Linked DNA regions of Caenorhabditis elegans. The protein of the gene in region 1 purifies or fractionates together with the protein of each later gene. This does not show direct contact. Each region holds a gene or a part of one and is shown in the gene's direction. Other genes may lie near its edges.

Region 1 (6,929 bases):
AACAGCGACCCTGCCCTGCCTTCTAAGGAAACAACACAACAGAGTTTGACTTCAAGGAGCTCACCGGAAACCAATGTTGCTCTTGCTCACAAAGACTTTTGAGGTTAGTAAATATTTTATTTCGTTCTTCTTTTTCTCGAAGGTCAAATGTTGTAAATGTTTCAAAGTCTTCAATTGTTTATGATATCAATTCACGGGCGGCTCGAAACTCTCTTCTCGACCCTTTCTCTAAATCCTCTGCAACACACGCACTATTTTCTACTAGATCAGAGTTTACTGACACACACACACGTTTTGTGCGTTCAGTTCACGAGAGTGCGGTGTGTGTGTGTGTTTGTGAGTTAATGTTTGTGCGTGTATATTGATGTGTGTGTAAAAAAAACAAAATCGATTGCCGTTTGGAAATGGGCGGCCCAGTGTCCTCGGTCTCCGGCCATCGAAACGCCACTCGCATTGTGAAATTTGTTTTGGGAGGGCCTGTTTGCATCACCTTCGCCCTTCGCTCTCACTCAAGATTACTTTACGTGCTACAAACTTGTGTGTGTGTGTTAGCTGCTTTTCTTCTTTTTCTTCTCAGAAATAAAAAAGGCATGCTCCCTTCGACGTCTTCTTGACAGCTTTCTTCTTTCGCTTCTCTTTACTTTTGGAGCCATGCTCATATAATCCAGTTAGTTCATTTCCAGGAAATCAAAACAGATGTCAGGATCTGGAAGTGGAAGTGGTGCTGGACATGGTGGAGGCTCCGGCGGCTCAATCCGTGAAGCAGGTGGATCACTCGGCATGATGGGCGCCACCAGAGAAGAAGAATACTTCCGAAGACAACAAAAAGATCAGTTGGACAATCTCAAGAAGAAGCTTGAAGCAGATATGACGCAAAGCCAACAGGAAATTCGGGATCATGAAAAGGTACGAGACACTCCATTTAAGGAAAACACGCAGGAAAATATTGTTGTTGATTAACTCGTTATTCTTTGATGTGTCACATGACACTGCCGAAACTCTTATCTGCGAAAGTGGCGTGTTCTAGAACTGATTCAAAATAGACCGGGGACTCCTTTCGAATCTCTCTATTTTACACAGTTGACCTTGATATGTTAGAGAGACGGGCGACTAGCGAGCATAATGAAGAGATAGATTGGTTTTCACAAACAATCTCTTTTTTTTTGTTTTCCACTACCTTTCAACGTTCTTCAATACTTTCATTTCAGGTTCTCGAACAACATCAGCAACGACTGAAGGAAATCGAGAAAGGACACGGAACATAAAAAATAGAGGGCTTTTCAAACGGCTCTCTGTTCTTTTTGCATCATCATTTTCAATTTTCCCTTTCTTTTTATGCATACTTATTCTCTCCTCTCTATTTTCTCTCTCACACCGCATTTCTTCATCTTGCCTATTGCATCATTTTTTTTTCGCTTACTGCACATGTTTCGTCAAATAGTAAACATGGTTTTTATGGCTTCACTTCATATTCTTCTCTCTTCAATTTGATTCGATTTTCATTTCGATCATTCTATTTTTATTTGTCGTTTGTATGTTAGTTGAACTGATTGTAGTAGTATCAATTTTCAGCCATGCCAAAGCCAAGTGTCGGAATCAACGGATTCGGAAGAATCGGACGTCTTGTCCTCCGCGCCGCTGTCGAGAAGGACAGTGTCAACGTTGTTGCCGTCAACGATCCATTCATCTCCATCGACTACATGGTCTACTTGTTCCAGTACGACTCCACCCACGGACGCTTCAAGGGAACCGTTGCTCACGAGGGAGACTACCTTCTTGTCGCCAAGGAAGGGAAGTCGCAGCACAAGATCAAGGTAGAATATTTTCCAAACATATTTTGTTAAACATTCTCTTAAATTTCAGGTCTACAACTCAAGAGACCCAGCTGAAATCCAATGGGGAGCCTCTGGAGCCGACTATGTCGTTGAGTCCACCGGAGTCTTCACCACCATCGAGAAGGCCAACGCTCACTTGAAGGGAGGAGCCAAGAAGGTAACTTGTAATCAACTTTTGTGCATAAATATATTTAAATTTTTAGGTCATCATCTCTGCTCCATCTGCTGATGCTCCAATGTTCGTCGTCGGAGTCAACCACGAGAAGTACGATCATGCCAACGACCACATCATCTCCAATGCTTCCTGCACCACTAACTGCCTTGCTCCACTTGCCAAGGTCATCAATGACAACTTCGGAATTATTGAGGGACTTATGACCACTGTCCACGCCGTCACCGCCACCCAAAAGACTGTTGACGGACCATCAGGAAAGCTCTGGAGAGACGGACGTGGAGCTGGACAGAACATCATCCCAGCCTCTACTGGAGCCGCTAAGGCTGTTGGAAAGGTTATCCCAGAGCTCAATGGAAAGCTCACCGGAATGGCTTTCCGTGTCCCAACCCCAGATGTGTCTGTTGTTGATCTCACTGCTCGTCTTGAGAAGCCAGCTTCCCTCGATGACATCAAGAAAGTTATCAAGGCTGCCGCTGACGGACCAATGAAGGGAATTCTCGCTTACACTGAGGATCAAGTTGTCTCCACCGACTTTGTCTCCGATACCAACTCTTCCATCTTCGATGCCGGAGCATCCATCTCACTCAACCCACACTTCGTCAAGCTCGTCTCGTGGTACGATAACGAGTTCGGATACTCCAACAGAGTTGTTGATCTCATCTCGTACATCGCCACCAAGGCCTAAGCTGTCTCATCCTACTTTCACCTAGTTAACTGCTTGTCTTAAAATCTATGCTTCTCTTTAGTATCTAAAATTTTCCTAGAAGCTTACAAGTATATAAATGGTCTCTTCTCAATAAAGGTTGTATATTTATTCATCTTATTGAATCTGCCATTTCCTCGTTTTTGCGAGTTTATATACCTTCCAATTTTCTTTCTATTGTATTTTCAACTTCTAATTTTAATTCAGGGAAACTGCTTCAACGCATCATGACCAAGCCAAGTGTCGGAATCAACGGATTCGGAAGAATCGGACGTCTTGTCCTCCGCGCCGCTGTCGAGAAGGACAGTGTCAATGTTGTTGCCGTCAACGATCCATTCATCTCCATCGACTACATGGTCTACTTGTTCCAGTACGATTCCACTCACGGACGCTTCAAGGGAACCGTTGCCCACGAGGGAGACTACCTTCTTGTCGCCAAGGAAGGAAAGTCCCAGCACAAGATCAAGGTAGAATTATTTCCAATTAGATTTCACCTAATATTCTATTCAATTTCAGGTCTACAACTCAAGAGACCCAGCTGAGATCCAATGGGGAGCCTCTGGAGCCGACTATGTCGTTGAGTCCACCGGAGTCTTCACCACCATCGAGAAGGCCAATGCTCACTTGAAGGGAGGAGCCAAGAAGGTAAATTAGTGATTTAATTTTTCAAGATAAATATATTTAAATTTCAGGTCATCATCTCTGCTCCATCTGCTGATGCTCCAATGTTCGTCGTCGGAGTCAACCACGAGAAGTACGATCATGCCAACGACCACATCATCTCCAATGCTTCCTGCACCACTAACTGCCTTGCTCCACTTGCCAAGGTCATCAATGACAACTTCGGAATTATTGAGGGACTTATGACCACTGTCCACGCCGTCACCGCCACCCAAAAGACTGTTGACGGACCATCAGGAAAGCTCTGGAGAGACGGACGTGGAGCTGGACAAAACATCATCCCAGCCTCTACTGGAGCCGCTAAGGCTGTCGGCAAGGTTATCCCAGAGCTCAATGGAAAGCTCACCGGAATGGCTTTCCGTGTCCCAACCCCAGATGTCTCTGTTGTTGATCTCACTGCTCGTCTTGAGAAGCCAGCTTCCCTCGATGACATTAAGAAGGTTATCAAGGCTGCCGCTGACGGACCAATGAAGGGAATTCTCGCTTACACCGAGGATCAAGTTGTCTCCACTGACTTTGTCTCCGATACCAACTCTTCCATCTTCGATGCCGGAGCATCCATCTCACTCAACCCACACTTTGTCAAGCTCGTCTCATGGTACGATAACGAGTTCGGATACTCCAACAGAGTCGTCGACCTTATCTCCTACATTGCTACCAAGGCCTAAGCCGCTTCAAATTCTCTAAGTCTGAAATGAATCTGTAACATAATAAATTCCACATTATTGTAACTTTGATTCTCATTTTCTTTATAAGAATAAATCTTTTAGCTGGAGTAACTAAAACTGTGTTGTTGGATAGAAAGCATTTTTCAATGGCTATATCAAATTTGAAACGTTGAATTCGAACCTTTCACGAGGTTTACACTCATTTATATTCTTCGTTGTGATTGTCCGTCATACAAACCCGATTAAGTTTCCGTCTAGCCTCTATGTTTACATTAAATTGAGAAGCGATGAGAAGTGTCCAGTGTAGAGTGCAATGTGCACTCAAAATGTCGGCACATTGTCACTTTGCTAACATTTTTCCCAGAGTCATTTGGGATACTTGTGTAGTCCCAAAAAATATTAACTATTAAGCTTAGGATTAGTGCTTTTCTAAGCCTGAATAGAAAACTTATTGGAAACAATTTTTGGTCACTTATGTAGTAGATGTATCACAATATATTTTCATAGGATAACTTTTTGTAATGGTAAACTCGTGAGAAATAATTATTTGTAGACCTAAAAATTCCAGATTTAATTTTAAAAATTTAATAATATTTTGGGGTACTTCTACTTTTCATCTACCTTTCCATATTTGATATTTCATTCGCAATTATACAATCTCAGAAAATTCCTATGGTCACGTTATTCTTTGTCGTAGACAGTTGAAAGATGAAGGAAAAAACGAGAATAGATATCACAAAGTCACGTGGCAAAATCCATCAACCTGTTGTTAGTGACGTTATTTTTTGCCTCAAAATGCGGGAAACGATGTACGCATGACTCTGACGAAGTCTGCCTGCTTCTACGGGTACACTTGAAATGAAGCATAGAAAGCTGGCTGCGTTTTTTTCTTGTTTCGCTTCACGCCGTTTTTCTTTTTCTCTTTATTCTCTTTATATTCTCTTTTGTGCGGGTGCGTTTCCAATTCCCCGGAGCCCATCTTCTTTTTTCCTCACTATTTCTTTTTCTTCTTCCATTTTGCCCTTCTCATCGATTCAGAAAAATTACTGGCTCGTGACAGAAAAGAAGAACCAAAAAAAAAAAGCATTTGGGGGCTCGGAACAAAATGAAGCAAATCCTCCCAAGTAAATGTAGTTTGCCGAAATAACGTGAAATTGAAATTCGATATTTTATAATAGCACTCTTTTTTTTTCTGCCACAAACGACACTAACTTCATTTTGTTTTTTTTTGTCGATCTGACACTGGCCAACAATAAACTACCAATGTTCGTTGTTTTTCATGTACCCAATCTTAAGTTCTAGTTGAAGAAGAAAAAAGAAAAAATAATCATTCAACTTTTTTTCCTTTTTGCATTAGCACCAGCATTTGCTCCTTTTTCTTCTTTGTCCCTACCCAGACTATCAGTCCCATAATGACATTATCGTTTTTGCGATAAGAAAATTGAATCGTTATCGATGCGCACCTTGGTGGGGAAGTAGGCCACTTTTTCTACCCACTTAGTTTTAATAATTCGCAATTTTGTTTCTTTTCTAATTTTGAAATTCAATAATTTAATCTTTCGAAATTTCAGATTACTGGTTTATATGGACCAAGACTACAAAGCACATTTCAAAGTTTTCTGCTCAGAAGTCAGAGAATGGGAAAAAATCCATGTCGTTGGAAGTTTGCCCGTCCTTGGCGAGTGGAATCCCAGAAAATCATTTCCATTAACAAAATCGACTGACGAAGAGTAAGATTTATTACATTAATTCCAGTTATTTTCTGTTTTAGAAACACTTTCCATGCAATTGTCAGTGTTCCCTCATCTATCAAAGAGTTCAACTTTCGATACATTCGAGTTATGTACCTGGATCCATCTGAAAATAACACTTCTGAGCCTATTATGGTTTTGTCAAAGTGAGTTTCTGGTTTTTTTTCACAAATCTATTGAAAATAATTAACAAAAAATTCGTTTAGATGGGAAACTTTTAACAATGCCAGAACTTGTTTGATAGGTGTGGAAAGTCAAGATGGAGTTGCTCGAAAAAATATCACAGATCAATTTGGAAGTTATAGTGAGTGTTGAAACTGTAAAACTACAAAATAATAGGTCAATTTAGGCGGAAAAACTCAAATAACCGATGGATGGATTTTGAATGAAAAAGAAAGTGTAGTGTATTTTCGTATTCATGGAGAAGCGCTCAAATTTTTTGCCAAAAGCTATGCGAACAAGGAATATCGTCTGAAAGTTGAACCATTTGATGTCAGGTACAGCGAGGTTAGTTAGATTTTATTTGAAATGAAAAAATAGACGTAGGTTTCCAAATTGAAGTTGCAGATGTTCTCTTACACGCGTAAGGACATAACAGACCGGCGTGGAGTTTGGAGGCATTCTTCTGTTTATGCCTCCATGTCTGTATGTATATTAGATGTTGTAATTGTGTTTTGTGGTATATAGTGTTTAAAAAAATTTTTAAATGGAAGACACTTACTTATTAATTTTAAAATTTACAATACCTTCAAAAATTTAGATTGATGGTGACGATGTGGTTAACTTGCCAACTCCAAGTCTTCCCTGCTTTTCCAACACCGATCTTTCCGTAAGAGCTTTAAATTTTGAATTTTTTAAATTGTTTTTTGATTCTGTTGTTTTCCAGGTGCTGACAAGAGAAGACCCAATTTTCGGAGACCAATATTTCAATGGATCAGTTTTTAGAAATGACCAAGATTACCTTGTGTTTAGAACAAGAACTGTTTCTCTTCAAAACTTAGTAAGATAGATATTTTATTATTTAGAAAATTCCCAAAACCATAAATCTTCTAGGCATTTCGAATAGAATTCTATCATGGAGAAAAGCGATGTGCACTTTCCTATGTTCTTCCTTCA
Region 2 (8,387 bases), on another chromosome or scaffold:
ATTTTATATTTCTTTGTGAAATCATAAAACTCACCTTCCTCATGCACTATAGGCCATTGAATTAGGCGTTTTTTAAATCTATCATTCACACAAATGTTTATTTTAGACGTTCTTGGATTAATTGTACATTCAAACTTTCTGGGTTTTTTTTTCATGTTTCGTATTTCAGCAAGATGCTTCCAGTCCAAATTTTAAAGGACAATGCTCAAGAGGAACGAGGAGAGAGCGCTCGTCTCAGCTCATTCGTGGGTGCAATCGCCATCGGAGATCTTGTCAAGTCTACTCTTGGACCAAAGGGAATGGTAAGAGCGTTTTGATTGTTAATCAAAATTAAATATTAATTTTAGGACAAAATTCTCATCAGTGGAAACCCAGAAAGCGCAGGAGGAATCAAAGTTACCAACGATGGAGCAACGATCCTGAAGTCAATCGGTGTTGACAATCCAGCTGCTAAGGTTCTTGTTGGTAAGTGCTCATTCACTGAATTTTGTTTTTACTTTTACAAACGTTTTGCATCTTTCAGATATGTCAATGACACAGGATCACGAAGTTGGAGATGGTACTACTTCAGTAACTGTCCTGGCCGCAGAGCTCCTCAAAGAAGCCGAGAAACTTGTCAATCAACGTATTCATCCACAGACGATCATTTCTGGATATAGACGTGCTCTCGGGATTGCTCAAGAATCCTTGAAAAAGTCCAGCATTGAATCCGGAGATAATATTCGTGATGATCTTTTGAAGATTGCCCGTACTACTCTTGGATCTAAGATTCTCAGTCAACACAAAGAGCACTTTGCTCAACTCGCCGTTGATGCAGTTTTGAGACTCAAGGGATCTGGAAATTTGGATGCCATTCAAATTATCAAGAAGCTCGGAGGATCCATGAATGAATCTTATCTCGACGAGGGTTTCCTTCTCGAAAAACTCCCTGGAATGTTCCAACCAAGAAGAGTTGAGAAAGCAAAGATTCTCATTGCCAACACACCAATGGACACTGACAAAGTGAAAGTTTTCGGATCAAGAGTGAGAGTAGATGGTGTTGCCAAGGTTGCTGAACTCGAAGCTGCTGAGAAATTGAAGATGAAAGAAAAAGTTGACAAAATTCTGGCCCATAACTGTAATGTCTTCATCAACCGTCAGTTGATCTACAACTACCCAGAGCAACTTTTTGCCGATGCTAAGGTTATGGCTATTGAACACGCCGATTTTGAAGGAATCGAGAGGCTTGCTCTTGTTCTCGGAGGAGAAATTGTTTCCACATTTGATTCACCACAAACTGCTCAATTCGGATCTTGTGATCTGATTGAAGAGATTATGATTGGAGAAGATAGACTTCTTCGGTTCTCGGGAGTCAAATTGGGTGAAGCTTGCTCAGTCGTTCTTCGTGGAGCAACTCAGCAGATTCTTGATGAGTCCGAAAGATCCCTCCATGATGCCCTTTGTGTTCTCGTTACTCACGTGAAAGAATCAAAGACTGTTGCCGGAGCTGGAGCGAGCGAAATTTTGATGAGTTCAGCCATCGCCGTCGAAGCTCAAAAGGTTGCGGGTAAGGAAGCCCTTGCCGTTGAAGCCTTCGGAAGAGCCCTTGCTCAATTGCCAACCATCATTTGCGACAATGCTGGACTTGACTCGGCTGAACTTGTCACAAGACTCCGTGCAGAGCACGCCAATGGACGTCACAATATGGGAATCGGTTTGTTCATTTGGAAATCTAACCATTATACAAAATTATCTTTCAGACATCGAGAAAGGAGAGGTTGCTGATGTTACGAAATTGGGCGTTATTGAGTCTTACAATGTGAAGTTGTGCATGGTTTCTTCCGCCGCTGAAGCCACGGAACAAATTCTTCGCGTCGACGATATCATCAAGGCAGCTCCACGTGCCCGTGCTCAAGATAACCGACCATGCTAATCAAATTGTTCGCCAGACTGTTAAAAGATCTTCAACTTTATTCTCCCTTTTTCAGCTTTTAATCGAGTGCTTCAACACAATCGTATCTCGTTTTTTTTCGTCCCCTTCATTCTTATTTTTGATGGAATTTGATACACTTTCTGTTGCTTCTGCCTACCGTTTTTATATGCCCCCGTTTTCAATTTAATATTCGAGAATACCGCGTGTTTTTGCTTGTTGATTTGTTTTCCTTTTAAAATGAATGGAGTGCGATTTACAAAAGGTACAATATTTGAAATGTATTTTATTCCAGTTTTTATCTGATTTTTTATATTTCTGATTAAAGAGAAAAGAAAAAGCTTAAAAGAAAAAATTTAGAACTGCCAAAAGATGCACAGGAGTTTTCCGAGGCTTGTCCGATCGCAAGGTAACTTGTTGAAAGGAATGTTTGGAAAATCCGGGGAAAAGGAAGCAGTAAAGCAGCTGACACTGGAAGAACAGGAGAGCCTTCGCAAGACGCTTCCCAGCATCCGTGCTAGAGAATCCACACAAGTTACTGCTTCAGCTGATTCTGTCACTGAATTTGACGATGATCTGTTGACGATGAGCCGTATCGACACGGATGCCATCCGGGCCAGAGGTTTTCTCAAATACACGCAAAACTATGTTCCCGGCGTTGATGTCAAAAACCAAGTACTTGAAGCAGCGTCATCATGTCTAAGAAGTGCTGGAGTAAAGTCTGAAAACGTGGATCAGTACAAATTTGTGGAAGGAGATAACTCTGTAAAGTTCGAGTTGTTGAACAGGCTGGGAAAATCCATCGAACATTGGCCAACCAATGGAAAACTTCTTCATTTGGAAACAGTGGCAGACGTCGTCGAATTTTATCAGACGCCTGTCAAAAATGTAACAAAATATACAGAGTTAGTTTTTGTTTAAAGATGCTTATTGAATTATTAATTAAAATAAATTATAGAATGGCTCGCGATGAGAACAAACCGAAAAACGTCTCGATTATGGAGCATGCTGCACGTTTCCATCCTGAAGACACTCACATGTATCATGGTGGAATCACTGCATTCCCAGGATCAGGTGGTGAAGTTCTCTCTCTGAGACAGAAACGTCTACTTCGACAGTTCCAACCGAAAAAAGAATGGTTCGATTATGATGATCAGGTAATTTTTAAAGTTTCAGTGCTGACTTAAAATCGGCATTTTTCAGACATTTGATTACACTCGTCCTGACAAGAATATGCCATGGGATCCAGAAGTTGCTAATCAAATGGACAAATACACTGATAAACGATACAACCTAAAAACAAAGCAATTCACTAGGATTCGACAATAAAAAATAATTTGGTTCATTTTTGTATTAGAGTTTCATATTTAGTATTTTTAGACCTATTTTCTTTTTGTTTGATCTATCGATTTTTATTGTTGTAAATAAAATTGACGTTGAAAAAAATATTTTTGACCTCTTCACGTTTTGATCTTCCTCTAAAGTTTTGCTCTACGCAAGTTATTTCAGTTTTTGATTTAAAATGTTTGTTCCATTCACCTCGGCAGCTCACTCGCTCACTTCGCTCATTCGAGGTGGCGGGCAGCCTTCGAAAAGCAATCTGTCTGGACAAAGGTTTTGGTTATCTCTTTTTCTTTATTTTCCGCCAGTTGATTTCATGCTCCCGCGACTTCCACACGCAATCTGCAAAATTTTGGCTGCTGAATCAGGGTAATGGGGTCTGCCGTGCCTTTTTTCCAAAACGTTGACTGATGTTTACTTTTCTTTTATGTTTCATTTTGACTTGTTCAATGGTTTTGAACAATAGTGTGTGCAAACTAACGTTTTTCTTTAAATTCAACACGCAAGCTTTGAGGTGTTTTAGTTAGAAAGAAAATAGTTGTGTTTCTCTTCAAAAATAAGTTTTTTCCGAAATGTTTTGCAAATTTTCCGAATCAACAATTTCTTCTCATATCAGACCTTATCACTTCTTCTCACTTCTAAAACTGACCACTGAACATAAAAAACATTTGGTAACTCGCTTCTCAAATCCAATCTGAAGTGCATGCTTTGCCAATCTGAAACTTCGTGTAAGTCACGTATTTAGGCGAAAGGCAGCCGCTCAAGTCGTCGCTTCTCCCCAGCGGCAGTTGCTGGCGTCCTTGGCCCCTCACTTGTTTTCGAGCCCAAGGCATTGGCTCCTCTTTTCTTCTCGGCATGACGAATTTAATCATAATTCTCAATATCTAGAAGTGTTCAAGAACTTAGTGAATCTGCAATGCCTTTTTTTTGTAACTTCAGTTCGAATCTTAACTGCGTCTCTTTGAGATCTACAAACGAATTTTATTCACTGCCACGAAAAAGAGGCTGTCCGTGCGATTCTATTGAACGTGCGCTCTCGGGCCGCTCACAAACACATCTAACCAGCTGCATTTTCTCTGAGTCTCGTGTCCTCCGTGCGACCTTCGTCACTCTTTCCACTTTCTGCGCCGTCTATTGACGGCGCCGCCTTTTTCTTCTCGCACTCCTTTACCCCTTCTCGCCTCAAACATTTTATCTTTTCAGTTGTTTTGTTTACTAGTGCCCGTTTCTCACGTAGTTTTATATACTTGTTTGATTATTGAAAACATATAGTTCATTTTGCAGGATGCCAATCACCAAGATCCACGCTCGCCAAATCTACGACTCCCGCGGAAACCCAACTGTTGAGGTTGATCTTTTCACTGAGAAAGGTAAGCGAGCATTGTATAAATTCTATCAAAACTTGAAAAACCAATCTAGATTTGAATAAAATAAGATTAATCTTGTTTTATTCAAATCTGAAATTTCATGAAGTATATTTCAACATTATGACGCAATTCCGAAATCACATCATTTCTTGTTTCCAGGAGTCTTCCGTGCCGCAGTTCCATCTGGAGCTTCTACTGGAGTTCATGAGGCCCTCGAGCTTCGTGACGGTGACAAGGCTGTTCACCTCGGAAAGGGGGTTCTCAAGGCCGTCTCGAACATCAACGAGAAGATCGCTCCAGCTCTGATCGCCAAGGGATTCGATGTCACTGCACAGAAGGACATTGACGACTTCATGATGGCTTTGGATGGATCGGAAAACAAGGGAAACCTCGGAGCTAACGCCATTCTCGGAGTTTCACTTGCTGTCGCCAAGGCTGGAGCCGTACACAAGGGACTCCCACTCTACAAGTACATCGCCGAGCTTGCAGGAACTGGAAAGGTTGTGCTCCCTGTTCCAGCCTTCAACGTCATCAATGGTGGATCTCACGCTGGAAACAAGCTCGCTATGCAAGAATTCATGATTCTTCCAGTTGGAGCTTCCAGCTTCGCTGAAGCCATGCGCATGGGATCAGAAGTCTACCACCACTTGAAGGCTGAAATTAAGAAGAGATATGGACTCGATGCCACCGCTGTTGGAGATGAAGGAGGTTTCGCTCCAAATATTCAAGACAACAAGGAAGGACTTGACCTTCTCAACACTGCCATCGACAAGGCTGGATACACTGGAAAGATTTCCATTGGAATGGATGTCGCAGCATCGGAATTCTTCAAGGACGGAAAGTACGATTTGGATTTCAAAAACCCAGCTTCAGACTCCTCCAAGTGGCTCTCTGGAGAGCAACTGACCGAGCTCTACCAATCTTTCATCAAGGAGTATCCAGTTGTCTCTATTGAGGATGCTTTCGATCAGGATGATTGGGATAACTGGGGCAAATTCCACGGTGCCACTTCCATTCAGCTTGTCGGAGACGATTTGACTGTAACCAATCCAAAGAGAATTCAAACTGCCATCGACAAGAAGTCATGTAACTGCCTCCTTCTCAAGGTTGGTTATTTTCTTATTCTGCTTCATACATAAGTTTCTTTTCAGGTTAATCAAATCGGATCCGTCACAGAGTCAATCGAAGCAGCCAAGCTCTCCCGTGCCAATGGATGGGGAGTTATGGTCTCTCACAGATCCGGAGAGACTGAAGACACTTTTATCGCTGATCTCGTTGTTGGACTTGCCACTGGACAAATCAAGACTGGTGCTCCATGCCGTTCTGAGCGTTTGGCCAAGTACAACCAGCTTCTCCGCATCGAAGAGGAACTCGGAGCTGATGCTGTTTACGCTGGACACAACTTCAGAAACCCACAAGTGTAGATCACTCAATCTAACCTATAAATACTGTGTATTTTCGTACTTTCTTCTCAAAATTGCCCTCCCTTTTTATGTAGTCACCTTTTTACCCTATTTTAGTGCTTGACCAGTTTAAAGTTGATTCCATTGTAGATTATTTATTGTACTTGTAATATGAAGATTGGACATGAAAATTTTAACGAAAACAAACATCTGGTTATTTAATTCGGTTTTTGTTTTTTTCTAACTACGGTATCTGTTAAAGGAGCACGCGTTAATTTGGCTCAGGGTCCCGCGACGAAAACTACCATCGCGCGAACGCGTACGCGCCAAAAGTTCTGAAATACATTTTCATCATTTCTTTTGTCACACATTTCGTGCCATGTCATTTACGAAGTGGGTCTGATTTCAAACCAACTGAAAATTCGAGAATTATCGCTCATTTTTATGTCTTATGTTTCGAAAATATAATCAATGCATTTCATTGATTTGTTTTCGTTTCGTTTCGTCGGCATTTTTCAGTTCTCCTGTTCTGCTAAATAGCTATCCTTCATTGTTCCTCGAACTAAATAAGTGGTTACAAATTAACTGTATTTTGCAAACAAATTATAATTTGACTGTTGTGCCTCATTTTAAAGAACAGAATAATTCGGCGCAATTTGTTCATTTTGCAGTTACTTATGCTCTCAGCACGCACTTGTTTTTCTCTCCGCTCTCTTCGTCTCTTAATCGATTTTATCTTTTCTGATTTGTTTGAAACTTTATATTCTCAAATTAAATTCCTGATTTTCAGAAAATTCTCATGCTCGTAACAGCAAAATGAATAATCCAGAAGAAAGCGCTGTAACAGATGTACGTTCATTTATTTTTTCCATTAGTTGTGCAATAATTCGTATTTTCAGCTCCGAAAGTTCACCAATTTGGTTCTAAATGGACTTGTTGACGAAGAAGCAACAGCTGCAGCTCTTATTCGGTATCAATTCCAGCAGCGCACGATCAAAGGTTATTAAAGACGCACAGAACAGCCTCAATTAAATTTACGATTACAGATGTTGTTCGGCGCGGTTCCGAGGATCCCGAATTGAAAGCACAGATATGTGATTTGCTCAATCACCTCGTTATCTACCTGAATGAGGAGATTGTGGAAACTTCTTCCAAAGCGTGTCCGGATGGAATGGACGATCGACATTTCGTGCAACTCGAAAAACGGATGCACTTGATGTTCGAGGTATACTTGGCAATGAATGTCGTTCCCGATTATCTGATTCCTGATCTCACAAAACACGTTGATGCAAGCCGTGAAGCTGTTAAGTATTCATATAGCCTCTGCAAAGGTACGTTTCGATAATTGTTAAAATATTTTATTGTTTTTTTTGCAGACTATTACCGCTGGAAAGAACTGCCATTAACTCTCAAAGAATTTTTTCTTGATGAGAAAGAGGAGGTGAAGGCTGTTGTCGATGAACCAGAACCGACAATGTTTGCACGCGACGACGGGGTAGTATCATCATTGGCTCATGAGAAGGCACAATCAGACGAGGATGGGAAGAAGAAACAGTTCGTGGCAAAGACCGAGAAGGTAGTAGAGCCCCTTAAAAAGAAAAAGAAGCAGAAAAAGAAGAATAAACAGCGCCAGTGAAAAATCCCATTTATTCTTGTACCATGGCGAGTTTCGTGTCTTAAAATTTTATATCTCACAAAATCTGAACCTGTGCAAATGTTTGTTAAATTTATCCCGCAAAAATTCGTATTGTGATTCTATTCGTTTTTGTCTTGTGATGATCATCATTTGATTCAGTATTTAGTCTAGAAAATAAAAATTTCAGCTTTCTCTGTGTCTGGTATCAAATGCATTTTATACAAGTTACTTAGACTGGTAAATTTCCAGGTTCTCAACAATTATCGCGCCAAGAATCCTGACTACAGAACGATGCGCGAGTTGATTAATGCGAAAACAAAGTTCCGTCTCGAGGGAATATACTGCGACAGTTTAATCGATGAGTAGGTGTTCTTATACACTATTTCTGTAAACACCTGATTTTCAGTTTCATATCAGTTTGGGATATGGCTATTGACATTGAACCAGTGAAGACAGAAGACAAGTTTGCATTCACTAGTCTCCTTAAGAAAGTCTTTCTCATGATGGTCGATAAAAGGAGAAATGATTTTGCTAGCAAGATTTTAGATAAATACAATAATGATGCTTCGGGTGTACTGCCTTGTCTCGATAACTTTGTAGAAAACTTTCAAACTGGACTTACGGCCGCCATAAATAACCTTCCGCTTGATGCTAACGTATTGAGCAACAATATGGAATTGTTCGAAAAAGCAAAAGATCCAGTAAGACAGTATTTTTGAAGTTTTCAGTAA
Region 3 (8,121 bases), on another chromosome or scaffold:
TCCATTGATAAGAAAAAGTGGCACGACTTTCGTCTCGTATCACTTTTTTCTCATTGATGGCATGTTCGGATACATTTAACTCGTCGTGTAATATTAGAACTCGTTTGTGGATTATAAATAATTTTTAAACTCATGAAAATTTTCTTTGTTCTAAAACGCTTTTTTGAAAAGAAAATCGCAGTGACTTACTTTTTTTAAAAATAATTTTTGTTAAAAAATAGTATATTCATTTATAAATAACTGTAAATATTAAGTATAACTAGTAAATATAAAACAATTTTCAATCTTAAAAGAACAAATGTTTGAAAAAACTTATGGGTACTGTGTTAAAGGCGCATGGCTTGAAAGTGCACCCGGGTCTCACAACGCTCGTGGCCGTTTCTCGTGTACTTCTCGTGGATAATCTGTTCTTTTTGTTTCTTGCCAAGATCTTGAAAAGTATTTTTGTTTTTATGTATTTATTCCTATTTATATTTTTTGAATTATTGAAATCGGGTAACCTGTTTTTGAAAGTTCTAGTGCTACTGTTTTATAACCTGTTCATTCTTCATTGTGCTTTTCTTACTTTTAAAATATTCTGTTAAATCTTTATTACCGAGAAATCATGCATTTTCAAATACATATTCAAAAATTAGCTATCGATTGAAGTCCTATTTTGTTTCAATGGGAATTTCACCAAAACCGTAGATTTCTGTCGGCAAAATTTTGCGTGTTGCTTGTCGGATCTGAACGAATTTCATGAATTATGCCAGAATAGAGAAAGTTTGCGCCGCTAATGCTTACAATCCTTGCGGCCTTGCTACTCACATAATTTTTCCGCGCATACTTTTGGAAAAAGTTCTTCAATGTATTGCAGAAGGGCACAATATGCTTCCTGCTACCCTCGAATACTAGTTTCTGCACAAATCTTGAATCCTTGATGCCTTTTACTGCATGATAAGCTTGCACAATTTTCTCGTTATCCGTGTGAATATCAATATCTGGATCCACGACTCCCAAAAAATGAAGAGCGCTTTCATACTGAAATATAAGTTTTAGTGCACATTTTCAAATCAATGACTCACCAATTCATCTAAATGAGATACACAGCATTTAAATCTTTGCATTCGAGCCAACTCTTTTGCTTTGTCCATATCGTACTTATCATTCATAACACAAACGTAGATCATGATGTAGGCATCTGTATTATTGACTGAACGGACCTTGGTCATTTCCATTTGTTGATTACACACCAGACACGGCCATTTGACATATCCAGGAATATGTTCAAATGTTGTGAGTTGGATGGACGATTTCGAACGTTTTTGTGATGATTTTCCGTTGTCTATCGAGCCAATTAGTGACTTTTCCTCTTCCACTCTTGTTATTTTATACTTTTTCAGTAACAATTCGAATTCCGATTTGCAATTAGTCAATGAAGTAGAAGGTCCCGTTCCAAAACTGTCAGAAGTTACAGGGTTATTCATAATTTGACTCTCGCTGGTTGAATTTCCTGCATTTGAATTCTCCTGCATTTGAAGATCCTCTAATGAAGGTTTTGTTTCAATGGGGGCATCATCGTAATCTGATATTGGTTCTAATTTGATATCTTGTGAGTTCACATTTGGACTCGATTGTGCCATATCATTCGAATTTTCACTGTTCGCGTCAAATTCATTATCCATAGATGACTCCTCTTCCATTTCGTTTGGGAAAACCGACTGTTCATCAGATCGTCTTTCCCTGCCTACCGAAGTTTGACTCAATTGGAAACAATTTGAAAGGCTATTCGGCATGTATTCGTTGTTTGATTCTCGACATTCAAGAATATCAGTTTGCATCCATTGACGAACCATTTCGTGACGTTGTTTTTCTAAATTTTCGTATTCATCGGGGTTCATAAGCTCCCATCGTTTGAATGTATCGTATTTGTCGACATTCACTTTCTATAAAACTTTTAGATGAATATGTGTGGATATTTCTCTATTTTTATAGTATAACTTTAAAATAGTAAGTATTTGAAAAGCTCATTTTTGAAATTACTTACAATTAAGTCTGATGTTGTAGGCAAAACAATATCCGGTCTGATGAGCTCGAACATTGCTCGAAATTTTGGATGATTTACGATAGAAAATTCAATGTTTGTACTTCTCAGAAAATCAATCATCAACACGTTGAGCATTTTCTTCTGATAAGCTTGTTTCTGAAATTTGGATTTTTTATAAATACCTAGGAAACTCTAAAACTGACCTCTTCATTGCTGATGTTCTCCATTTAGTTTTATTATTTAGGTAAATTAATTGCATAAAAAAATAAAGTTGACAATCAATATGGTAAGAAACTCGCTCAACGCAGGGTCAGCAGCGACGCAGACAACGAGACAAAGGCAGTGTAGGCAGCGAAACGACGGCAGAGATGTGTTTTGTGAGAATATAGGAGAATGAGGACGTAAGGAGAAAAAAAATCGTTGAGTGAACGATGAACGCTCTTATTAAATTAAAAAAAAAGAAACTAAAAATTAATGTAGAGAATTCAGTTCGAATTACCGCCGTAGCCCAATAGAGCGAGTTTGCGGACCTCTCAAGAAAAAGTTTTTACCTTAAAAGATTAGTGTGTCAATTTCAATTTTAAGTTTTCCCGTGTTTCTTTGGATCTTATTCCTGCTTGCGCATGTTTACATAAATTAAATGTACTCTGATTCCCGTTTTACAATGCAATTTGTTCTCTGAACCTCCAATTTTCTCATCATATTCGACGCTTTCAATCCTGAGCGAAAACAAAACACCTCGAGAAGATCGAATTGTCATCGTTTCTTGTAAAATTTTGAAAAAAGGTGACAAAACCTCCGGCATTTTTTGTTTGCGTCGTAGCCTAAAAGTAACAAGAGTGCAGGGGAGAAAAAAAAGTAATTCAATGCCAAACACCACTTTGTTTTTTGTTCATTCGTCGGCATTCGTCGGCACTCGTTCTAAAAGAACAGAAACTTATTTTCTCCTATCATTGCGTTCAATTTTTGAATTCAGGAAATACTTGAATCCTTATCCTTGAAATATTTTGAAATTTTTCTTTTCGAAAACCTATTGAGGTCAATTTTCTAGAAAGATAACATCTCACAGAACTCCGAGTGTGGTCTACAAGATAGTCACAAATTTCCCCCAATCTCTTATTCACTGCAGAAATCTGTCTCCGTCTCTTTGCTTATCTGGTTTCCTCGTTTTTCTTTTTTCTGTGCACTTTCCGTCAACCAGTTCAGTTTTTCTAACTGTACCCAATTATTGTTATAATAATAATTACACGGCCTATAAACAAAACAAATCGCCTCCACTAGTCAATATATAAATAAGCGATGGAAGTTGAGTGGAGTAGGCCACAAAATAATGATGATGACATTGATTGTTTGTCCAAAAATGAAGTAAAGAGCGGGAGGCGCCTCCTCACAAAAAACTAATCAAAGTCGTCTCTCACGTTTTTACAACTTTCCCCGAATTATCCAAAAACGTTCACATCAAATTTATAAATTCTGAGTAATGAAAAAATCCTTTCTGGCATCACTTTTTTCGAAACATTATCATCATTGTTTCATTGATGTTTCCCGAAATTGAACCATTTTGATCAAAATTTCACACATGAGAATTGTTTTCTGAAATAAATTGGTCATTTACGCCATAAGAGACTTTTAAAAATCAATTTTGTAACCGCAATCTATATTTTTCTTCTCTCCGTCACTCTTAAAATCCTTTTTTTTAATTTTCAATGGCTTTTTCCAGAAATTAAAATGGCCGAAGCTGATATTGCCGTCATCGGATTGGCCGTTATGGGTCAAAATCTTATTCTGAACATGAATGATCACGGATTCACTGTTTGCGCCTTCAACAGAACTGTCAAATTGGTCGACGATTTTCTTGCCAATGAAGCTAAAGGAACTAAGATTATTGGAGCTCATTCAATTGAGGAAATGTGCAAGAAATTGAAAAGACCACGTCGTGTCATGATGCTCATTAAAGCCGGAACTCCTGTCGATATGATGATCGATGCAATTGTTCCGCATCTTGAGGAAGGTGATATTATCATTGATGGAGGAAATTCTGAATACACTGATTCAAACGTAAGTTTTTGTTTTTTTCTAAATATTTATTTATTTTATTCATTAGACTTTTCTCTCTAAAAATAAAATAAATATGTAATATAGTGAATCGATTGTGAACTGACAAACAACAATTATTTTCAGAGACGCTCCGAGCAACTCGCCGCAAAGGGGATCATGTTCGTCGGCTGTGGAGTTTCCGGAGGAGAAGAAGGTATGAATTTGTATTTTGAATTGTTTGCAAAGAGTTGAGGTATACGGTAATTTATTTAAAAATACAATAACAGGGATTTAATGACCAGATTAAACCAAATGTTTGGAAATATGCTTTTTTAGATTAATATTAGTTCACTGGTCCACTTGCATCCACCGAGTTGGTTTTCATTGATATTTCTCTTTCCAGCGACTTTTGTTGCTTGTAATGTTCAGGAACCGGCTTATTGATCACAGTTAGCCTAGAAAAATGATTAACCAGTAAATAGTGAACAATTAAAAGTAAGGTTAATTGGAAAAATGATTAAAAACCATTCCTATGATGCTAAAATGACCAAATATCAAAATAAAACTCTTCGCTAAATTAACATGAATATTTAAAACATAATTATAACATAAAACCAAAATAAATTTTTTGGTACACTACTTCCAAAAAAATTGGTGAAAACTGAGTTCGCACCGCTTTTTGACTCGAAATACAAAAATTTTACAAAATTTTTTGAATATATTTAATATTATTTTTGGTAATTTAAATACAATATTAATGGTTTTTAATCATTTTCCAATTAACCATACTCTATTGCTAGGTTTAAAAAAAGCTAACCAAAAAGTGGCAAAAACTGCCTTATGATCCGACGGTGTTGTTCCTCTCATACAATCGTACTGAATGTTTTGGAGCCATTCCGAGTTTCTTACCCAAAAGAGAACGCGGTCCTAAAATATTGAAGTCTTAGCAATGTTTGTAATCAGAAATTACTCACAGTAAAAGACGGAATCCTTTTTGGCACATAATTGTCTGTGTCTGGCTCGAATTTATGTGTTGGAGGGAATTTAATTGGAGCTTCCTTGAAATCTGTGAATGCTAATTGCTTTTTCCTATGACTGGCAAGCTCTTCTGTTTCAAAAACATCTCTAAATGTTTTCTCTGTAATCTTTTCCGGATCTCTCCAGTCTACATTGCTCTCTACAGTAACCCGGAAATTCAAATCTCCAATCCAAAGCACCACCTGAAAATGATTTATGGAGGAAGTGTCGCCCTTCAGAGGCGCTTACGTCAGAACCAAAAATTTCGTCTTTTGCATGTGCATGAAATCTGGCAAGCTGAGGAAAACGAAGAGTGCGGACCACTTTAGCGTAGTCTTGGATACGTTGTTGTGGTGTTGCATCTGTAAGAATATAACATTTTTGTGTTCTCATCATTAGTCTAACAATGTAAGGGACCACTCACGTGATAAATGACATCCGATAAGCACTATAAATCGCTGATATAAACGAAGACATACCGCGATTGCACCTTTCGTTCGAACTGGTTTTGCCATTGCACCAGATGCGATAAATGATACTTGTGGTTCTAGAAATTTTAAACTATTAGATTCTAGATTATAAGATCTGAACTCACGGATTGCATATCGAAGATGTTTCTGTCGAATGAAGACTATTACCATTTGACTCCAGGCTCTATGTGAAAGGTACAGACGATGACCATTGAGAACTGGCTCAAGAATTCGTAATGCTTCTTCATGAAAAGTTCTGAAACTGATTTTAGTTAATCGAAAATTAATAGTTTTCGGAACTAACGGTGCTGTGGAAGGTATTTCTTGCAATGAGATGAAAAATATATCACTATCCATTTCTTGTCCTCGTTCTGCTATTTTCTGAGCGAGATGGCTCAATATTTTCACACCTTTTTCGTTAATGTTCCATGTCACGGTACATACTTTCAGTTTTCTATCACCCATAGCTTCAATAACGTCGTAACTGACAATTGGAACATTCCCAAATCCTTTTACAGCAGGGCTAAATATCATATGTTCAATGAATGATGAAAAAAAAGTAATCACTTACGCAGTATTTTGCGTTTCAATGCAGTATGTCCAATTGCCGTCACTGATCTCGTTGACTGAAATGAAGTGTAATGGGTGTCAGAACAATAGGATTAAGTCGGGGAAGGATTAGAGGCTTACATGAGGCGCTGTTACGCCACGTGGCAGGTTGAGAGGAAGAACGGAGCCATGGAGGGTGTCGAGTAGGAGTTTGATGTGATTGCTTCTCACTTGAAGAATCTCCTGATTTTGGATCACCTCCAGATGCAGAGGGAGTGTTGGCATCTAAAAGAAATTGATACGTCCAAATAAATGTAGAATACTAGATTTCAACTCAAATGTTTCTCAGTCTTACCCATTTACTGTATGAATTAAATAACTTGGCTTATTGCTTCGTTTCAACCAACTAAGCTTCGAAATGCATATTGAAAATAGAGAACATAAATCCAATAGCGACGGACTCTATCAGAGGCTTCAAGTATAGGAACGGGAGGGAAGAGCGCGCACTTTTGTATGTCAGAAAGCCCGCGTTTTTCGTGTGCAATTCGCTCGTTTTTGTCCGATGATAAAATGACGAACAAGTATAACGGACGACTCTGGTGTTGGTGGTGCTATATAATGTTATGTAGATTTCGGTGTGCAAAGGGAAATGGGCAAGTGCAGAGATGAATGGGGACAGGAGAAAAGTTTGGAGACGCAGGACGAACGAGTGAGACGGGCGTGAGAGAAGAAGTATTTGAATGGGTGCCCATGGAAAAGCATTCAGAAGGCGAAGCAACAGGAAAACTTGTGTTGCTAGGTTTCCGATTACATGCCAAGTGGAAATTTTAGAAAAGAGTCTGGGTCGCCACTGGAGAAAAGAGTCTGGGTCGCCATATGCTTCCTTATTTTTTAAGAAAACCAAGAGAAATGAAAAGAAACGACAAAATTAAACACATGAATCTAGATCTTCTCGAGCTATAATTATTCTCCCTCACTAGAAATAAAAATAAAATACAATTAGAAGAACTTGAAAACTCGTTGTAATATGATAATTCCAAGTATCTTTCTTTGTTTCTTCTGCTTTTTCGAGTTTTTTCAATGATAAAATTTGCTAAATTTTGCCTACTTTTCCAGCAACGGTAATTATGTTATCTTTTGGCGAATGTTATTTGAAAATAGTGTTATGAGAAAATATGAAATACATATGACTTCCAGACTTCAATCAAAAATAAGAATTCTTGTGTATATACGAAAGTATTTTTGAAACTTCTCGAAAATTTCACACTTGCTATTTTATTTTTGATAATATTAGGTTTAGCAGAACATGTAATCAGAACACAGACTTACCAGCACTACTAGAATATGATCCGGACCATGGAAATACTCGAAACATCACTTTTTATATGAAATCATTTGCAATACACCTGCTGCGAGATTTAAGACTAACAAAAAATATGAGTGCTTTGTCTTTCCTGTCTGAGGGCGTAGAATGAAATCAGGAAATTTGGTCGCGAAATAGTCTGTGAGAAGTAGAGAATCTGACAACGAGGAGGAGTTTTGAGATACCTATACATGCAAGTGTATGATTGAAAAAGAGAAGAGCTCTAATTGAATGCGCATTGAGATGTGACATATATTTTGAGGAGAGATGAATTTATGAATAAATTTCCAAAAGGAATATAAATTTGAAGAAATTACTTATATATTTATTTACATCACTCACCAAAAGTATAACTTCGGAGAAATAACCTTCGCATCATCTTGTATGAATTGAGAAGCTAATTAGTAGGTATTTGTAGGTATTCACTAGTGAGAGCTGACAAGAGATGAATCTCTTCTTGCTTAATAGCACTCTCCGTGCTTACAGCCTTTATCGACCAAAGCGTTAGATGTTTTATCGTCGTTGTCGTTGTGAATCCCGAGAGAAAGACATCTGGAGAAATGGGCGAAAAAATGAAGAAAAAAATCAGTGAGAGAAAGGGCACGGGAAATTGGAAACAAGGGACTGAAACCCTTGACATCCAAGAAAAAATGGATCGA
Region 4 (7,393 bases), on another chromosome or scaffold:
TTCCATTGTTCGTTCTTCAGCTACCGATTCCATCTCAATCGTTCGCTCCTTATTCGATTCAGTACTAAGTCTGCTGGTTGCCTTGATTCGTGGCGGCGTTTGAACCACCGGTCTGATCTTTTTTCGGGGATGTTTGAAGAAGTTGGCTCCCGGCGATTGAATTTCTTCCTTTTCGAGCATACTGTTGTGAAGAGGATTAGAAATACTGGCATTACGTCGTTCTCGCTCATCCGAAGTGACTTTCGACGTTCTCCGTTTTTCTCCTCCTTCCATCGTGTTTTGTGCCAGTACTGGAGGCTTCACACCAACACTCGTGGTTCCTTGCTCGTATGCATCTCTTTCTTCAATAATAAACGTCTTTTGAAGAGTTGAATCGTTATTTTCATCTCTGTTAGCTACGTTGAAAGTTCTTTGAAGTGATGACTCATCTTTCTCGGTCGGCTTTGTGAACGTTTTCTGTAGAGAGGAGTGTTCTGCATCTTTAGCCACTGTGACCGTTCCCTGCATTTCCGAGCTCTGATTCTTCTCGATCGTCACCGTTTTCTGAAGTTCTTCAGGAGCATCTTTAGCCACCGTGAAGTTTCCTTGCAGCTGAGAGCTTTGATTCTTCTCGATCGTTACCGTTCTTTGAAGCTGTGATTGCTCTTTTGATGCATCTTTAGCCACCGTAAACGTTCTTTGCATTTCCGAGCTCTGATTCTTCTCGATTGTCACCGTTTTCTGAAGTTCTTCAGGAGCATCTTCAGCCACAGTGAAGGTTTTTTGCAGCTGAGAGCTGTGATTCTTCTCAATCGTGAGAGTTTTCTGGAGTGTTGACTCTCTCTCCTCGAGAATGGTTGGGATAACGACAGACTTGGTGTGAACAGTCTGAAACGATATAAAAGTTAGTTTAAATATCTTTAAAACAAACAAATTTTACCACTCTTTCAGCATCTAGTCGATCGGTATTGACGACATGTGAAATATCAAGCGATCTCAAGGACCTCATCGACGTATCACTCGAGCTCTTGGGAGTTGAACAACTTAATCCAGCTTTTCCACTCTGAAATTATAGATTTATTAAACTATGAACACGCAAATTCATCTCATACCCCTCTGGAATTAGCAATTGGCGAGCCCATCATCGACTTTTCACTGATGTGTTTCGGAAGCGCCGGAATGGCAAAAACCGAAGCGCTTCGGACATTTTGATTCACAGTGTTCTCGCTGTCGCTCTCACATTCGGAGTATTCACGACAAGCAATCAACTCTTTGAAGGTTTTCGCTCCGTACATTTCCTTTTCGAGACGTTTTCTGGCCTGAATATAGTTTATTAGGTGTTGAAAAGATTTTGTGACTGAAATTTACATTGTTAAGCTGTGTTTGTTTCCTTTTCTCCAAAATAGCGAACATCTGCTTCTCAGATAGTCCCTGTTTTCTCCATTCTCGCTCCTCCAAATTTGCACTATCATTCATCATCGATTCATCGACGATAACTGTTGGTTCCTCCAAGTACGACGGTCTTGTATCGTCCAAGCCAGCCTCACGAAGAGCAACGATTTCAGTGATCATTTTCTGAAATAAACAAAATAAGTAAGCAATCAAATTACCATAATGTGGAACTTTTTTTTTGTAAAAATCAAACATTTGTTAAGAATTTTAAAAATCTGAATCACTTACTCGACCAGGAACAATCGTACTGCGGGTTCGCGGTTTTCGATTCATTCTGCAATTTGATATCGTTTTGAAAAAAAGACAATTTTAAGAGGTGAATAAATATAAGCAAACTTCTCGATGTCAAATGGGAGCTAAATTTGAAAGTGGCGGTTTTGCATTGTACAACGGAGCGCGTTTGGTTAGAGGGGGAAGGCTACGAGAAGAGGATAGAGGAAACGTATTTATTGTTTTCTTTTCGCATTCAAAAGGCAAGAAGGTATTATGAGCCAAATATTGATTGATTTTAAGGGAGAAAGACACAGACTTTGTATAAAATAATAGCCGAACCAAGTCAAACGCAGTTTTGAAGAGAGGCCAATCGATACGCTTTGGTGAAATAAAGAAAAATGAATAATACTTCATCGAGATCTATTTATGCTTGTTTTCACGAATTTCAACAAGGCCTCCACGTCCCTAACAGTAGAAAATACTAAACGCAGAATTTATTAGTAGTTTTCTAAATAAAATTCGTGCAATATTAGTTGAGCGGTAGCTCTTTAAAGTACATATTGATTTCAACCAAGTTCTTCGAAAGTTATTTCAAGCGCGTTTTCATTTTTTTTTCTAATGATCCGCAAGAAAATAAAATTTTAAAACGAAAAGAGAAAAATAGAATAAAATCAAAGCCTAAAAATCAGACTCTAAAAATGATTTTTCCCGCCTGTCGGTATCAAGTGTACGGTATTCGTGGTGAGACCCGCGCCCCCGCGCAAAAAATTTTGAACTTTTGCGGAGATGTTTGCACAGACAGCATTTAACTTAACGCAATTTTGCATGCTTTCTATACTTTCGAACATTTATTGAGACCCGAAGAACTCGGGGGATGTCCAATTGGGGGGATTACCAACTCGGGGGATTGGCCTCACCCACAGAACCGTGGTTTGCAATACGCCCATTTCTGCAAATGCCGCACGGTTTTAAAACTGTATTTTTCTCAATAGAGCGAGAATTAACAAGAAAAAATAATTTTAAAACCGTGCGGCAGTTGCAGAAATGGGCGTATTGCAAGCCACGGTTCTGTGGGCGGGACCAATCCCCTGGTAATCCCCCCAATTGGACATCCCCCGAGTTCTTCGGGTCTCCATTTATTTTTTGTTTTTGCCTTTTTGTCTTACAATTTTGAAGGTTTCCCTTCATCGATTTCATCCAAAATTGAGAAAAAATGTTTACAAAATGTATTATTTTCATTTCTTCCAATTTTCTAATTCAGATTTTCCCTAAAACATTTGTGATTCTTGATTTTTTACTTTTATCTATATGAGTGACGTTGTTTTGACAGCATATTTGATCAAATTTCTAGAAATGGTTTGTTTTATCACTACTGTTCATGCCTTCTTAATTTCAAATGATCTTCAAACATTTATATTTGTGTTTTCGGTTATTCTTCATGTGTTTTTTATTTGATTCGTTTCAACCCATCCAAATGCGCGGTCTCTCGCTCGATCTCTCGTCTCTCTGCGTTTCCAGTGTAAAAGAGAAAGGCGAGCAACAACTTCTATCATTTCTCACGTCGCTCGTCAAAATAGTTGTCTTGTTTGTTTCTCAATTTTAACATTCTCTCCTGTTTTGACCATCTTTGAAATTTTTGAAAATCAATATCAAACAATTTCAGCATTCAGAAAAATGAGCTCCCTCAACAAGTTGGCTATCGACCAGTTGAACCTCGCCGGAAAGCGAGTTTTGATCCGTGTTGACTTCAATGTCCCACTCAAGGATGGCAAAATCACCAACAATCAACGTATTGCTGCCGCTGTTCCAACCATTCAGGTAATCAATTCAAATTTATTTCAAACAACATTTTCAATAATATTCAAAATTTCAGCATGCTCTTAGCAACGGAGCCAAATCTGTCGTTTTAATGTCACATTTGGGACGTCCAGATGGCAGACGCCAAGACAAGTACACCTTGAAACCAGTTGCTGAAGAGTTGAAGGCTCTCTTGAAAAAGTTTGTTGTATAATCTGATTTTAAAAAAATTACAAATGATTTTCAGAGATGTTCTCTTCCTCGACGACTGTGTCGGATCAGAAGTGGAGGCTGCATGCGCCGATCCAGCTCCTGGATCAGTCATTCTCCTTGAAAATCTTCGTTATCATCTGGAAGAGGAGGGCAAAGGAGTCGATGCATCCGGTGCCAAGGTTAAGGCTGATTCAGCAGCCGTAAAGAAATTCCGCGAGTCTCTCACCAAGCTTGGCGATATTTATGTCAATGATGCTTTCGGAACCGCTCACAGAGCCCATAGCTCCATGGTTGGAGTCGAGCACTCACAACGTGCAAGTGGATTCTTGCTCAAGAACGAGCTCTCCTACTTTAGCAAGGTAATTTTTTCCTCCAATTTTTCATATTGAATTTTATTATTAAATTTTCAGGCCCTCGACAACCCAGCTCGTCCATTCCTGGCCATCCTTGGAGGAGCTAAGGTCGCTGACAAGATTCAGTTGATCAAGAACTTGTTAGACAAGGTTAATGAGATGATCATCGGCGGAGGAATGGCCTATACCTTCTTGAAAGTTGCCCAGGGAGTCAAGATCGGAAACTCTTTGTACGACGAAGAAGGAGCGAAAATTGTGAACGAGCTTCTTGAGGCTGCCAAGGCAAAGGGAGTTCAAATCCATCTCCCAGTGGATTTCGTCATTGCTGACAAGTTCGCCGAGGACGCAACCTCGAAGACCGTCACCGCCGAGGAAGGTGTTCCAGATGGCCACATGGGACTTGATGTTGGGCCGGAATCTTCTAAGATCTTCGCCGCTGCCATTCAACGCGCCAAAACGATTGTCTGGAACGGTCCAGCAGGAGTATTCGAGTTTGATAAATTCGCCACAGGCACCAAGTCATTGATGGATGAAGTTGTCAAGGCCACCGCTGCCGGAGCCATCACAATCATTGGAGGAGGTGACACTGCGACCGCCGCCAAGAAGTATAACACGGAAGATAAGGTGTCTCACGTCTCAACTGGAGGTGGAGCCAGTTTGGAATTGCTCGAAGGAAAAGTTCTGCCAGGAGTTGATGCTCTTTCGCCAGCTCAATAATTTTCTAATTTCTATTGTTTATTCCTTGCCCAATAGTGTATTTGTATTTATTCTTTCTCTCTCTAAAAACTTTCCCACATTAGTCTTGAATTGTTCCCAGTGATTTCACAATCTTCCATGTAACATGAAGTATAAATAAAGTGTATAACTATAGAATAAATTAAGAGTTCACTTAATCGTAGAGTTTTTTAATCGTAGAGTTCCGTATATCTACCAATACATTATAGTCATTTTCCAATTGAAAAAAAAAGAAAAGAAATCAGATGTCTGCTCAAAAGCTATACGCATCGCATGTTCCCTTGGCACCGCTGTCTCGGATGCTTCTCGGGATTGGATCAGCAGTAACAGCGATCTCGGATCCAAAAAGAGGAGATATGGTGGCAGCGATGGGCGAAACTACTGCAATTGGACCAGTTTTAGAAAATATTCGAAAAAGAATGGAATCTGATGTTGTTGGAAAGCGACTTCTTCTCGAAAAACCAAGAATTTCAAATGGAACAATTGATAGAAAGTGGCTAAGACAGTTACCGGATGGAACATTAGGAAAATTGTATTCAAAGTATGTGAAAGTATATTAAACAACAAAAAAAAATTGAAAAACTTCAATTTTCAGCTTTCTCGATCGTTTGAACACATCTCCAGATGCTCGGCCCACTGTCAAGTATATCGATAATTTGGAGCATCTTTATGTTATGCAAAGGTTTTAAAAATCGACGTAAATAACAAAAAAATTCAAAATTTCAGGTATCGCGAAACACACGACTTCACCCACATCGCATTGGAGCAGAAAACGAACATGCTCGGCGAGGTAACAGTCAAATATTTCGAAGGAATTCAATATGGGCTTCCAATGTGTGTCACTGGTGGAATATTTGGAGGTGCCAGGCTTTTAACAAAGTAAGCAGAAAGAGAGACGAAACCATGAAAATAAAATTTAAAAATTCTAGAAATCGCCAAGAACTTGTCGACCGGAACCTCCCTTGGGTTGTGGAGCAGGCCACGAATGCACGATTCTTCATGGCTTTCGACTGGGAAAATCACTTTGAAAAGCAGCTCAGCGAGGTGCAGAAGGAGCTAAATATAACGCCATTATCTGTGAATATGTGATATAGATTTGATCTTGAATTTCTCAGTGATAATGAAAAAATGAATTAATTAATTTTTTTGGACCGGACATTAAATTTGAAAAATTTGGACCATTTAACAGTTACGGTATTACGATAACACTTAAATTCTGAGAATGCGTATTGCACAAAATATTTGACGAGCAAAATACTATCAAAATTTATGAATCGATCCTTCGATTTTGCAAAAATCGAAGGATCGATTCATAAATTTTGATAGTATCCCGTAGCGAAAACTACAGTAATTCTTAAAACTACTACTGTATCGCTTGTGTCGATTTTCGAAATGGATTTAAATATCGATAGAATACTAGAATTAAGCAAATATTAAGAAAATAATACGAAGCAACGCATTTTTTAATTTCGAAAATATTTCTAAATCGATACAAGCGCTACAGTAGTCATTTAAAGAATTACTGTAGTTTTCGCTACGGGATACTTTGCGTGTCAAATATGCTGCGGAATACGCATTCTCAGAATTTTGTGTTTACCGTAATACCAAAACGTTCTGCGACTGGCAGTTTAGTCAATTTCTTTGGATTTTGATAATTGTGTGATTTGTGAGAAAGGATTTATTGTACATGAAACTGAAAAAATGGAAAGAAACCGGTAATAGAGGCAAACGGGCAAGTTTTGGATGAGGAACGACGGGGGAATTGTGGAAAAATAAGCGAACTTCTCAATTATCGAATTTCAGGAGCTTCTGGACCTCCCGGAAATGGAACCGGATGTCCCTGATATTCTCTTCAGTAAAGGACATCCGGGATTTTGGAGAGTCCTCCAGGCGGTTGATATGATGATTTAAAGTAGCAACTTTCCTAAAATTATATTATAACATTGATTAGGAGGTGGCTTGTACAACTTACTGTTTTAGCACGTGTCTCAGCTTCTGCCGCATTCTCTTCAACTCTTTGGCCGATTGTCCAGTTGGGTTGCCATTGGGTGCCGTTGGGCGCTGGGGGTGAGTGGGAGCCACCCAGCAGTGGCAGAGGATGGTATTGTCAATTGTTTGGACTTTCCAGATGATGAGGGCCGTCGCGCCTAGCCAGGCTAAAAAAATATCTTGAGTGAGGAAAAAATTGATAGAAAATATACCACTTCACTCCAGGCTCATTGAAACGCCAGAGACGGGTAGGAGCACGCGAGAATAATGGCCGCATTTGACCGTGTCGACTTGGTGGTTTGATCTACCTAGATTTACGAGAATTGCGGGAATTTAGTCGCTCTCAACTGATTTCGCATGGTTAAGGACGTGCTGACGTCCCTTTTTTTGGGAAAGCAATTCCCGCATTTTTTGTAGATCAAATCGTAATGGGACATACCACGTGGCTCAATACAAATGCTATACATGTTACGGTAGGCTGGAACCGTACTGCATTCAATCAAATATTTAATTGAAATTATTTATTCAAATCAATTATTTAGTGAAGTGGAGCAATTTTACAAAGGAAAGCTCTTTGATCGTCTTGTGGCACGTTGTTCCATCGAGTTCCTTCGCTGTTTTTACCCTCGTGTGGGTCGGCGACTAGCTGAAATTTTAAAGGC

What was found.
Region 2: the proteins of gpd-3 (region 1) and enol-1 fractionate together in Caenorhabditis elegans (co-fractionation; one large-scale study listed by BioGRID). This does not show direct contact.
Region 3: the proteins of gpd-3 (region 1) and T25B9.9 fractionate together in Caenorhabditis elegans (co-fractionation; one large-scale study listed by BioGRID). This does not show direct contact.
Region 4: the proteins of gpd-3 (region 1) and pgk-1 fractionate together in Caenorhabditis elegans (co-fractionation; one large-scale study listed by BioGRID). This does not show direct contact.

What each region holds. Positions count from the first base shown.
Region 1 is NC_003284.9:3,109,333-3,116,261, reverse strand, and holds gpd-3 (Glyceraldehyde-3-phosphate dehydrogenase 3), read left to right. Parts: upstream 1-2,920; 5' UTR 2,921-2,940; coding exon 2,941-3,180; intron 3,181-3,229; coding exon 3,230-3,358; intron 3,359-3,405; coding exon 3,406-4,062; 3' UTR 4,063-4,171; downstream 4,172-6,929. Other genes in the region: mai-1 (ATPase inhibitor mai-1, mitochondrial), read left to right, coding at 697-906, 1,209-1,265; gpd-2 (Glyceraldehyde-3-phosphate dehydrogenase 2), read left to right, coding at 1,575-1,814, 1,864-1,992, 2,039-2,695; gpcp-1 (Putative glycerophosphocholine phosphodiesterase GPCPD1 homolog 1), read left to right, coding at 5,647-5,792, 5,834-5,959, 6,020-6,117, 6,163-6,320, 6,381-6,458, 6,574-6,642, 6,700-6,813, 6,867-6,929.
Region 2 is NC_003280.10:8,927,572-8,935,958, forward strand, and holds enol-1 (Enolase), read left to right. Parts: upstream 1-3,431; coding exon 3,432-3,523; intron 3,524-4,534; coding exon 4,535-4,620; intron 4,621-4,776; coding exon 4,777-5,723; intron 5,724-5,768; coding exon 5,769-6,041; downstream 6,042-8,387. Other genes in the region: cct-2 (T-complex protein 1 subunit beta), read left to right, coding at 174-302, 348-465, 524-1,693, 1,740-1,912; mrpl-50 (Large ribosomal subunit protein mL50), read left to right, coding at 2,282-2,814, 2,868-3,066, 3,113-3,238; T21B10.3 (Edg1 TPR repeats region domain-containing protein), read left to right, coding at 6,837-6,869, 6,920-7,019, 7,067-7,351, 7,397-7,596, 7,906-8,018, 8,063-8,357.
Region 3 is NC_003282.8:10,765,907-10,774,027, forward strand, and holds the start of T25B9.9 (6-phosphogluconate dehydrogenase, decarboxylating), read left to right. Parts: upstream 1-3,746; 5' UTR 3,747-3,754; coding exon 3,755-4,084; intron 4,085-4,207; coding exon 4,208-4,277; intron 4,278-4,311; exon of another isoform or gene 4,312-4,406; coding exon of another isoform or gene 4,407-4,518; intron 4,519-4,880; coding exon of another isoform or gene 4,881-4,990; intron 4,991-5,037; coding exon of another isoform or gene 5,038-5,283; intron 5,284-5,329; coding exon of another isoform or gene 5,330-5,442; intron 5,443-5,504; coding exon of another isoform or gene 5,505-5,627; intron 5,628-5,675; coding exon of another isoform or gene 5,676-5,806; intron 5,807-5,854; coding exon of another isoform or gene 5,855-6,073; intron 6,074-6,121; coding exon of another isoform or gene 6,122-6,176; intron 6,177-6,240; coding exon of another isoform or gene 6,241-6,384; intron 6,385-6,454; coding exon of another isoform or gene 6,455-6,458; exon of another isoform or gene 6,459-6,841; intron 6,842-7,428; coding exon of another isoform or gene 7,429-7,474; exon of another isoform or gene 7,475-7,540; intron 7,541-7,804; coding exon of another isoform or gene 7,805-7,841; exon of another isoform or gene 7,842-8,005; intron 8,006-8,121. Other genes in the region: T25B9.8 (Lin-15A/B-like domain-containing protein), read right to left, coding at 651-725, 808-1,020, 1,065-1,925, 2,027-2,182, 2,230-2,253; inpp-1 (Inositol polyphosphate-related phosphatase domain-containing protein), read right to left, coding at 4,407-4,518, 4,881-4,990, 5,038-5,283, 5,330-5,442, 5,505-5,627, 5,676-5,806, 5,855-6,073, 6,122-6,176 and 2 more. UniProt on the Caenorhabditis elegans protein: Catalyzes the oxidative decarboxylation of 6-phosphogluconate to ribulose 5-phosphate and CO(2), with concomitant reduction of NADP to NADPH.
Region 4 is NC_003279.8:3,864,234-3,871,626, forward strand, and holds pgk-1 (putative phosphoglycerate kinase), read left to right. Parts: upstream 1-3,307; 5' UTR 3,308-3,318; coding exon 3,319-3,462; intron 3,463-3,517; coding exon 3,518-3,642; intron 3,643-3,688; coding exon 3,689-4,013; intron 4,014-4,064; coding exon 4,065-4,724; 3' UTR 4,725-4,876; downstream 4,877-7,393. Other genes in the region: hcp-4 (HoloCentric chromosome binding Protein), read right to left, coding at 1-867, 920-1,042, 1,092-1,298, 1,348-1,554, 1,660-1,704; coq-4 (Ubiquinone biosynthesis protein coq-4, mitochondrial), read left to right, coding at 4,988-5,283, 5,338-5,424, 5,469-5,621, 5,672-5,831; clec-53 (C-type lectin domain-containing protein), read right to left, coding at 7,270-7,377.